2 linked regions of the Arabidopsis thaliana genome follow. The protein of the gene in region 1 purifies or fractionates together with the protein of each later gene. This does not show direct contact. Each region holds a gene or a part of one and is shown in the gene's direction. Other genes may lie near its edges.

Region 1 (4,722 bases):
GCAAGTATTAGGTTAATGCATATAATATTTTGAATAACTTTAACACTAACTAATTGAATATTTTCAATATATAATCATACTCGCACTCATCAGTCATAACACCATCAATTTAATTTTTTTTTATGGGGTTATTATATGTACTAGATGACTAAAACTTTGAGAATATTTTCATGAATAATATGAATTTTGTTTAAGTTGATTACATTATTTATCAGGAACAGTAGTTACCAAAAATAATAGTTTCATATTAAATTTTACACGTTGGTCATATAGGGGATCCTTGCTTATTGCATTCTGCATGGCATGTCAGCACAGTGTATCAGCATGTGATATAATTTTACTATAAGTAGAGCATTCATCGGTCGTAAATTTTCGGAATATTCAGTGTATTTATTTTCTATTTTTTTCCGTTTTCTATTATTTCTGTATTTCTCAATACAATAAAAATTCAAACTAACCAAAAATTCAGAAAAGATCACTATATTATATATAAAATCAATTGCCGCCCAAAAAGAAATCTGTTTTACAATGAATATAACTGAACAATTATACATATATCTAGCAAATCTATCTTTTGGCATTTCTAAATTAATAATCTCCATTGAAGAGCTGCAACTTTGTGCTTGCTAAAACTTTTTCACCTGCAACAAAATGAGTATTATGGGAGATTTAAAAATCAACATAGGCATACAAAAATATTCCAGAAAGAAGAGAGAGACAATAAGGACAACAAATTTTGAGTCATATCATATTTGTTGTGATGGGCTCCATCCCATTGATAAATACCTTAATCAACCGATTGTCAGCTGAATTCCTCATGCTAATACCTAACTATACAATATTATAATTGCCATATACTGGAAAACTAGCAGATTGCACAACAATATAGAAAAGACACAAGCATAAGAAAGAAGCCTACGCGACAATTACTACAACATCTCCATATTGAATGGTCTTCTGATATACAATACCATTCCATGCGCGCAGACTGAGACTTTGTAAGTATGTGAAGCATCTCACGAGAGTTCTCAGTCAAATGCAACTCAACAAAGAAATCATAAGAAAGCATTAAATATTGAAAGCATTGAGAAGCAAATTAGTTCATGAACCACATCACATCAGCATCCTGGAGACCAAAAAAGGAAGACAATGAATCACTCAATAGAAGAACTGATAAGTTTTTGCTTTCACTGCCAAGAGTGTAAGAAACATACCGCAAAAACAGACTACTAAACCCTTTTCAAGAACAATCCGAAGGAAATTGATTCTTCTCCACATCATTTAGCATCCAAAGCAATGACCACCATCTTTAGTTGCAGCTCTACGCAGCACATCTAAAGCTTTCTTGTTCTTTTACCAATTCTAAAAATCTCAAAGAAGAGATCGATTCCAGATACAATAGCTGCATAAGATTCATTCAAAGTTGTCAAAATTACAGTACCATTTTTTTACGGAGGAATGACAAGTTATGAGAGTGCTTTTATTATATCTTTTCGGGTAAACATTGTAACGTAGTGAAAGTTGAGAGTGAATTGCCTAACAACCGATAGAATCAACCAAAAAGAAAAAAAGAACATCTTTTCTAACGACCAAAAAAAAAACCTAGGGGTTTTCTATTTATTAGGTGTATATTGTCTTTTCTAGTACTAAAACAATAATGGCTAAGTCTCATCCTCACACGTAAGAGATTAAGGTTGAGAATATATTGTATTGTTGTTAGCATAACCTAAAATGGATGAAACCAATTTCTACCAAATTCATTTTTTTTTAGCCATTTAGAGTACAGTGGAAAACAAGTATTTCAACTAAAGTACTCTAAGACAATTCTTCTTCTATCTTTTATGAGCTGAAAATTTTGGACCACTTTTCTTTTCTGTTCTTTGTGGATAATAAAACCAAACTTCACTGAATTATAGCTTCAATTCACATTGCACTGAATTTTTAGATTGATCTCAAAATAAAGTTTTTTTCCTAAATATTGTCATTTATTGAATACAATTAATTAAATGTAAATTGATTAAGTTGCTTTGCTTTGTATATAAGACCACCATCGCTCCCTCCTCTTTCATCAGTTAAGATAATATAAATTCAGTAATTAAGAGAGAAGAAATAAACACAAAAATGTTGGTTAAAGTTTTCTCTTTTTTCATCCTTATGATAACAATGGTGGTTATTGGTGTTAGCAAAGAATATTGTGATGACAAACACTCATGTCAAAACTTTTTGTTGGAGCTTAAGACAGCTTCCTCGTCACTCTCGGAGATTAGACGTCGTGACTTATTGATCATCGTTTTGAAGAATTCCGTGCGGAAGATCGACATGGCTATGATTGGTGTGATGGAAGATACAAAACAACATGAGGAGATGGAGAATGATAAGCTATGTTTGAAGGAGGACACAAATCTATTTGAGGAGATGATGGAGTCGGCAAAAGATAGGATGATCCGTTCAGTGGAGGAACTCTTAGGAGGAGAATTCCCTTATCTTGGATCTTACGAAAACATCCACACTTGGCTCAGTGGCGTTCTTACTAGCTACATCACATGTATCGACGAAATTGGTGACGGTGCCTATAAACGTCGGGTCGAGCCACAGCTTCAAGACCTCATTTCTAAGGCAAAGGTAGCTTTGGCTCTTTTTATCTCCATTTCGCCGAGAGACAACACCGAACTTAACTCGGTGGTTCCCAATAGCCCGTCTTGGTTATCTCATGTTGACAAGAAAGATCTATATCTCAATGCTGAGGTAATAAAACGGAACCCTAATATTTTTAAGTTATAATTTGATAATCGTGAAAAACAAATTAAGGATAGACTTGATACTCAAGTAACAAATATTTAGGATTTGTATATTTACCTTTTATTGTATTTACTTGTAGATAAATTCTTTTTCCTTAGAGATCACCAGTTCTATAAATATAGACCTTAAGGTCACGTAAATCGATATTTTTGCATCTCTTAACAAACCTTTTATCATTTTTCTCTTTCTTTCTACTGCTTATAGAATTTCTTCTGTTTTTTATAAAGCAGGCTCTAAAAAAGATTGCCGATGTTGTGGTCGCGAAAGATGGGACCGGAAAGTACAACACAGTGAATGCGGCCATTGCAGCAGCACCTCAACACAGCCACAAGAGATTCATCATCTATATAAAGACAGGCATTTATGATGAAATCGTCGCCATTGAGAATACGAAACCCAATTTAACTCTTATAGGTGATGGTCAAGATTCAACCATCATCACGGGCAATTTAAGCGCTAGCAATGTTAGAAGAACGTTCTACACTGCAACTTTTGGTAAGAGTTTGTGTTCTATTCTTGAATAATTTATAGTTTTCTCTTCTTTATACCAAACTATAACATTCTTAAAGACAATTCTAATTATACTAAAAATATGTTTGAAGCTTCTAATGGTAAAGGATTCATCGGAGTAGACATGTGCTTCCGAAACACGGTCGGGCCGGCAAAAGGACCAGCTGTTGCCCTCCGTGTGAGTGGTGATATGTCCGTCATTTACAGATGTCGTGTCGAGGGATATCAGGATGCCTTGTATCCTCACATAGACCGCCAGTTTTATAGGGAGTGCTTTATTACCGGTACTGTAGATTTCATTTGTGGAAACGCAGCGGCGGTATTTCAATTCTGCCAGATTGTAGCAAGACAGCCTAATATGGGGCAAAGCAATTTCATAACCGCTCAATCACGCGAGACTAAGGACGACAAATCGGGCTTCTCAATTCAAAACTGCAACATCACAGCAAGTTCGGATCTAGATACAGCAACCGTAAAAACGTATCTTGGAAGGCCTTGGAGGATATTTTCAACAGTCGCGGTTCTGCAGTCTTTCATCGGTGATTTAGTTGATCCCGCAGGCTGGACTCCTTGGGAAGGAGAAACTGGTCTGTCAACTCTCCACTACCGCGAATATCAAAATAGGGGTCCGGGAGCTGTGACTAGCAGAAGGGTGAAGTGGTCGGGCTTTAAAGTTATGAAAGATCCTAAACAGGCTACAGAATTCACTGTAGCCAAGCTCTTAGATGGAGAAACTTGGCTAAAAGAAAGTCGAATTCCATATAAAAGTGGATTGTAATAATGTTGTTCCATGCTTCACAAGTATAACGTACTAAATAAAAGGGAAAAAAGCGGAAAAAAACCCCGGTTTATTTTTAATTTGGCCGTTTAATACCTGTACTTTTAAAATTGGAAGAAAAATACATAAGTTAATTTCGATTGTCTACAAAAATCTTAGTCTTTTAAATGTTGGATATTTCCTGCTCCCAAGTTAACGACTGTTAGTTTTGATAACGGAACTACTAACTGTGGTTAAAACATAACTCATGTTATTTACGGATATATATACAAATCTCTTTTAATATGATTGCGATTATGTTGTCTTAGTCTAGTGGTTAGTTTTGGGTTGATTTTTTATCTAACTCACCCAAGTCTGAGTTCGAATCCCGCAATATACTTTTTGACGTTTTTTTTTCTTTTTTTTGTCTTAATTTAATTGAAGAATGGAGCTGGTGGTGGTGAAGAGGACGACGGAGATGGCAGAGCAACGGGTTTTCTCAACCACCAGAATCTGAAAACTTTTTCTATGCACAACCTCGACGAAAAACTTGTACCTAGATTTTGAGATTTGATTTGATATTTCTAAGGCTTTTACTTTCTTCTCTGTAGATACATGTTTAGGATTTGTATCCAAATTGAAATTTATTAAAATTG
Region 2 (4,008 bases), about 12 Mb from region 1:
CTGTGACGGCACGACGGAGTAAGACGAAGGGAGGGCAAAATGGTCTTTTGGCCTCGCCGTCGCCGAGGAATTTCCGGAGGTCGAGACTAAGGTCGGAGGCGATGGTAGATACAAAGGAAAATACGGAGCCAATTGTTGTCGTGACCGATGAAAAGAAACAAAACCAGAGGAAACAGAAGAAGTTGGGTCGATCTAAGAAGGAGAAGCACAGTTCTGTTCCTCTGTTAGCTTCTCCTAGTCCATCTTCAGATCAACGTATGTCCTTCCTCTGTCTATTAGCTCATTCGATTTCACTTTCGTGCTCTAATAATTGCTCAATGATTTGTGTAATTCAGCTCAAGATGTTTGTCAAGGTGATTTAGAGCGGATTAGAGAGAATATAAGCGATTTGATTATGTGGAGAGATGTTGCGAAATCAACACTTTGGTTTGGTTTTGGCTGTATATGTTTCCTATCTACTTGCTTTGCTGCTAAAGGATTTAACTTTAGGTAACATTGATTTCTCTGTCAAGGTTTATCTTTCTAGCTTTAATCATTTTTCACATTCATGAGTTGATAATGAAACTTTGTGTGGTTTGAAGTGTTTTCTCAGCGATCTCCTATCTTGGACTTTTGTTTCTTGGGGTATCGTTCTTGTCAAATACTCTTCGCCAAAGGTACAAACTTTTAAGGTCCCAGTACATAAATATCAGCTTGAACTGCAGTTGACTGAAGTTTTGATCCATTTGTTACCATAAAGGGTTACTGAAGAAGCGCGGAGAGAGCTTAAATTGAGTGAAGATGATGTATTACGAATAGCTAGACGAATGCTTCCCATCACCAATTTAGCAATTTCAAAGACGAGTGAGCTTTTCTCTGGTGAACCAGCAATGACACTCAAAGTAGAATTTACAAAACTTTGCCATTCTCATAAAACTTCTCTCCAATGAATGTGACTCTCACGTTGATTTTGTCCTTCTTACACTGTTTTTACTTTGATTTCAGGTGGCACCTTTTGTTCTAATGGGAGCTGAGTATGGTTACCTCATAACATTGTGGAGATTATGTGCTTTTGGTATGATTGTTGAAACACTATATGTCAACATTACTCCAAAGAAAGCTAAACTGTTTTCTTTAGTTGTATCTAGTAGAATTGACACAGAGTATGCATTGTTTCTTTAAACAGGTTTCTTCCTTAGCTTCACTATTCCAAAGCTATATTCATGTTACGCAAGTCAGCTTAACCAAAAAGGTAAACTCTATTAACAGACTGCGTAGCTCTTTGATGGTTCCAATGATTGACACTAAGGATTCTTTGATCTTTGCTTATGTGTAGTTGAGTGTGCACAAAGGAGATTTGTTGAAGCTTGGGGAGTTTGCACACACAAGAAATTCGTAGCAGGCTCTGCAGTTACTGCATTCTGGAATCTAACTTCTCTCAAGACCCGTTTTATTGCAGTGTTTATCATAGTAGTAGTAATCAGATACAGACGACAGAATCTACAGTTAGATTCCGAGGATGAGGAGGAGAAGAAGCAACAAGAAAAAACTCACCCGGAGCAACAAAAATCGCCGGAGGATAAGTCAACTTCACCGCGGTCAGCAGAAGAAGAGCAAGCGTTGGTGCTAGTTGCAGAAACCAAAGCACCAAAGAAGCTTTATTAGTCTAGTCACTAGTGTCTTTTCAGTATCCACCTGTGTAATAATATTTCACATTTACGTAATAATAAATAAAGAGCAGTCATTAATATCAAATAATAAATTGACACGTGACAAGCTCATGAAACTGTGAGAAGCAGGTGATAAAAACTCTCGTCCGTCTTGGGAGAGAGCACATCGTCGTCTTTTCTTTATAAACCCTAAATTCCCATTTCTCTTCTCCAAAAGTTTTATCGATTCCACCAAATTAGGGCGAACGCGAAATCTGGGTATTGTAATTTGAAGCGATGGCGACGACTGGAACTGCTGCGGTTGCGACGGGAACTTCGACGGTGAAGAGAAAACCGGTGTTTGTGAAGGTGGAACAGCTAAAGCCTGGAACGACTGGTCACACGTTGACTGTTAAAGTCATTGAGGCTAATATCGTGGTTCCTGTTACCCGGAAGACTCGTCCAGCGAGTTCTCTGAGTCGTCCTTCTCAGCCTAGTCGAATCGTTGAGTGTCTCATCGGTGACGAAACTGGGTGTATCCTCTTCACTGCTCGTAACGATCAAGGTTATTGTTTCTCCACTTTTCTCTTGCTTTATGGATATAGAAATGGTGTCTTCGTAGTTTATTAGAGTGATAAGTCTTATCCTTTGTTGTTCTCTCGTTTGTCTTAATCAATTTCTATTTTGAGCAAATGGTAAATGTGTTTCTATTAGTACTATTTGGTAAATGATGTATCAGTTATTGTATGTGTATTTAGTGATGTCTTTGTGAAATTGAAGCTTGAAAGAATCTTGGCCTTGAGGGTCTGTAACTCTGTATAGTCTTACCTATAGTGATGATGAAACTTGCTTGGTTAGATGTTGAGTTATGTTCAATTGAATGGTCTACATTATCCCAAAACTTTCATAGCTTTTCATAATGTGAAGTTTTGTTATACCAGTTTTCGTGCAATTGATGTGGCTACTGATTAGCTCTAATGATGTTATTGGTTTTTTTTGTGTGTGTGTGTGTGTGTATAGTTGATCTTATGAAGCCGGGTGCTACGGTGATACTGCGCAATTCAAGGATAGACATGTTCAAGGGTACAATGAGGCTAGGAGTTGATAAATGGGGACGCATCGAAGCCACTGGAGCCGCGTCTTTCACTGTCAAGGAGGATAACAATCTGTCTCTCGTTGAGTATGAACTGATCAATGTTGGTGGTGATCAGTGATCTTTTAGTATGTTTATGGAGGTTAACCCCTGAGAGTGTTGGGTTCTGATTTTTCTACCGTGAAGGTCTTTGATTTAGATGATGAAGATTGTATGACTGGTCCAGAGTTGCTTGTAGGAATATGCTTCTTCTTTTTTACCCTAAAATATGCGGTCATGATCTTGCTCTGGAGAACTATTGAGCCTGCGGTAATGGCGTAATGCAATTGTTCCTTTTAATTTGTGTTGATGTAAGTTAAAGACCATTGAGAGCTTGCTTGTGCACTATCTAATACAGTAAAAATAAGTTTTTCTTTCTTAAACTTTACTAATGTCTTTGTTTTTTCATTAATTACTATTTGATGTACACTATTGTACCCTCTCGGTTACAGAGAGTTTTGCCCAACTTTTTACATCGAAAGCATCTCATCCTTGATTAATGTCATTGTTAAGACAAATTGTAAGTGCATAAAATTCATCGACGGATCATAGAACCATTGTCTAGTTAAGTCGGTCTAATTCCAAACTTTATAAATCTTTGAAATCAGAATGTTACTTTGAAGATCAGCTTTGTAACACCAAAAACGAATAGTTAATGAACACAATACGTAGTGAAGAGAAAAAAGAAAACGAAATGGGTAATAACTTAATGGCATAAAGAAAGGCTTACAACACAGCAAAAATGTTCATGTTCCTAATCTTACCCTCACTATACCAATACAATCCTCTCCACGTATCATCATCCTTGAAAGGAACAAACGGAGAAAGAGTAGAGTCACTCCACTTCTTTGATGATCTTTCTTTTGCGCAGAGGTGCTGTGACCACTGTTCCTGGAGCACTGTGAGCTTTCCTTCGTGCTTCTTTTCTTCTCTTCGAATCGTTCACAGTTCGAATGATACCCATCGCTTTGTATATTGGTTTTGGCAAGTGCCTGTGTCTGTAATTCACAATAACCAAAACGTTACCATGTTACTATAGTTATCTTTTGACAATCTCCAGAGTTAAAGCATGGGATAAAACCACAGTTTTCATTGGTCATTTACCTCACAATGCGCTTAACCTCAGAAAGATGCTTGTACCGGTTCTTCACAGCCTCGTTGTACTCATGCTTCTTTTGTTCCCTTGGAAGAATCTGCAGCACAACACACCAATTAACATTGACAATTCACCGTTCCAAGTTAAAACTT

Evidence for each region.
Region 2: the proteins of AT4G03930 (region 1) and AT4G28440 fractionate together in Arabidopsis thaliana (co-fractionation; one large-scale study listed by BioGRID). This does not show direct contact.

Annotation. Positions count from the first base shown.
Region 1 is NC_003075.7:1,868,301-1,873,022, forward strand, and holds AT4G03930 (Plant invertase/pectin methylesterase inhibitor superfamily), read left to right. Parts: upstream 1-2,121; coding exon 2,122-2,745; intron 2,746-3,029; coding exon 3,030-3,294; intron 3,295-3,401; coding exon 3,402-4,087; downstream 4,088-4,722. UniProt on the Arabidopsis thaliana protein: Acts in the modification of cell walls via demethylesterification of cell wall pectin.
Region 2 is NC_003075.7:14,058,129-14,062,136, forward strand, and holds AT4G28440 (Nucleic acid-binding, OB-fold-like protein), read left to right. Parts: upstream 1-1,767; 5' UTR 1,768-1,925; coding exon 1,926-2,193; intron 2,194-2,648; coding exon 2,649-2,842; 3' UTR 2,843-3,258; downstream 3,259-4,008. Other genes in the region: AT4G28430 (Reticulon family protein), read left to right, coding at 1-255, 336-489, 582-656, 740-881, 985-1,054, 1,166-1,231, 1,316-1,644; AT4G28450 (WD repeat and SOF domain-containing protein 1), read right to left, coding at 3,596-3,758, 3,865-3,953.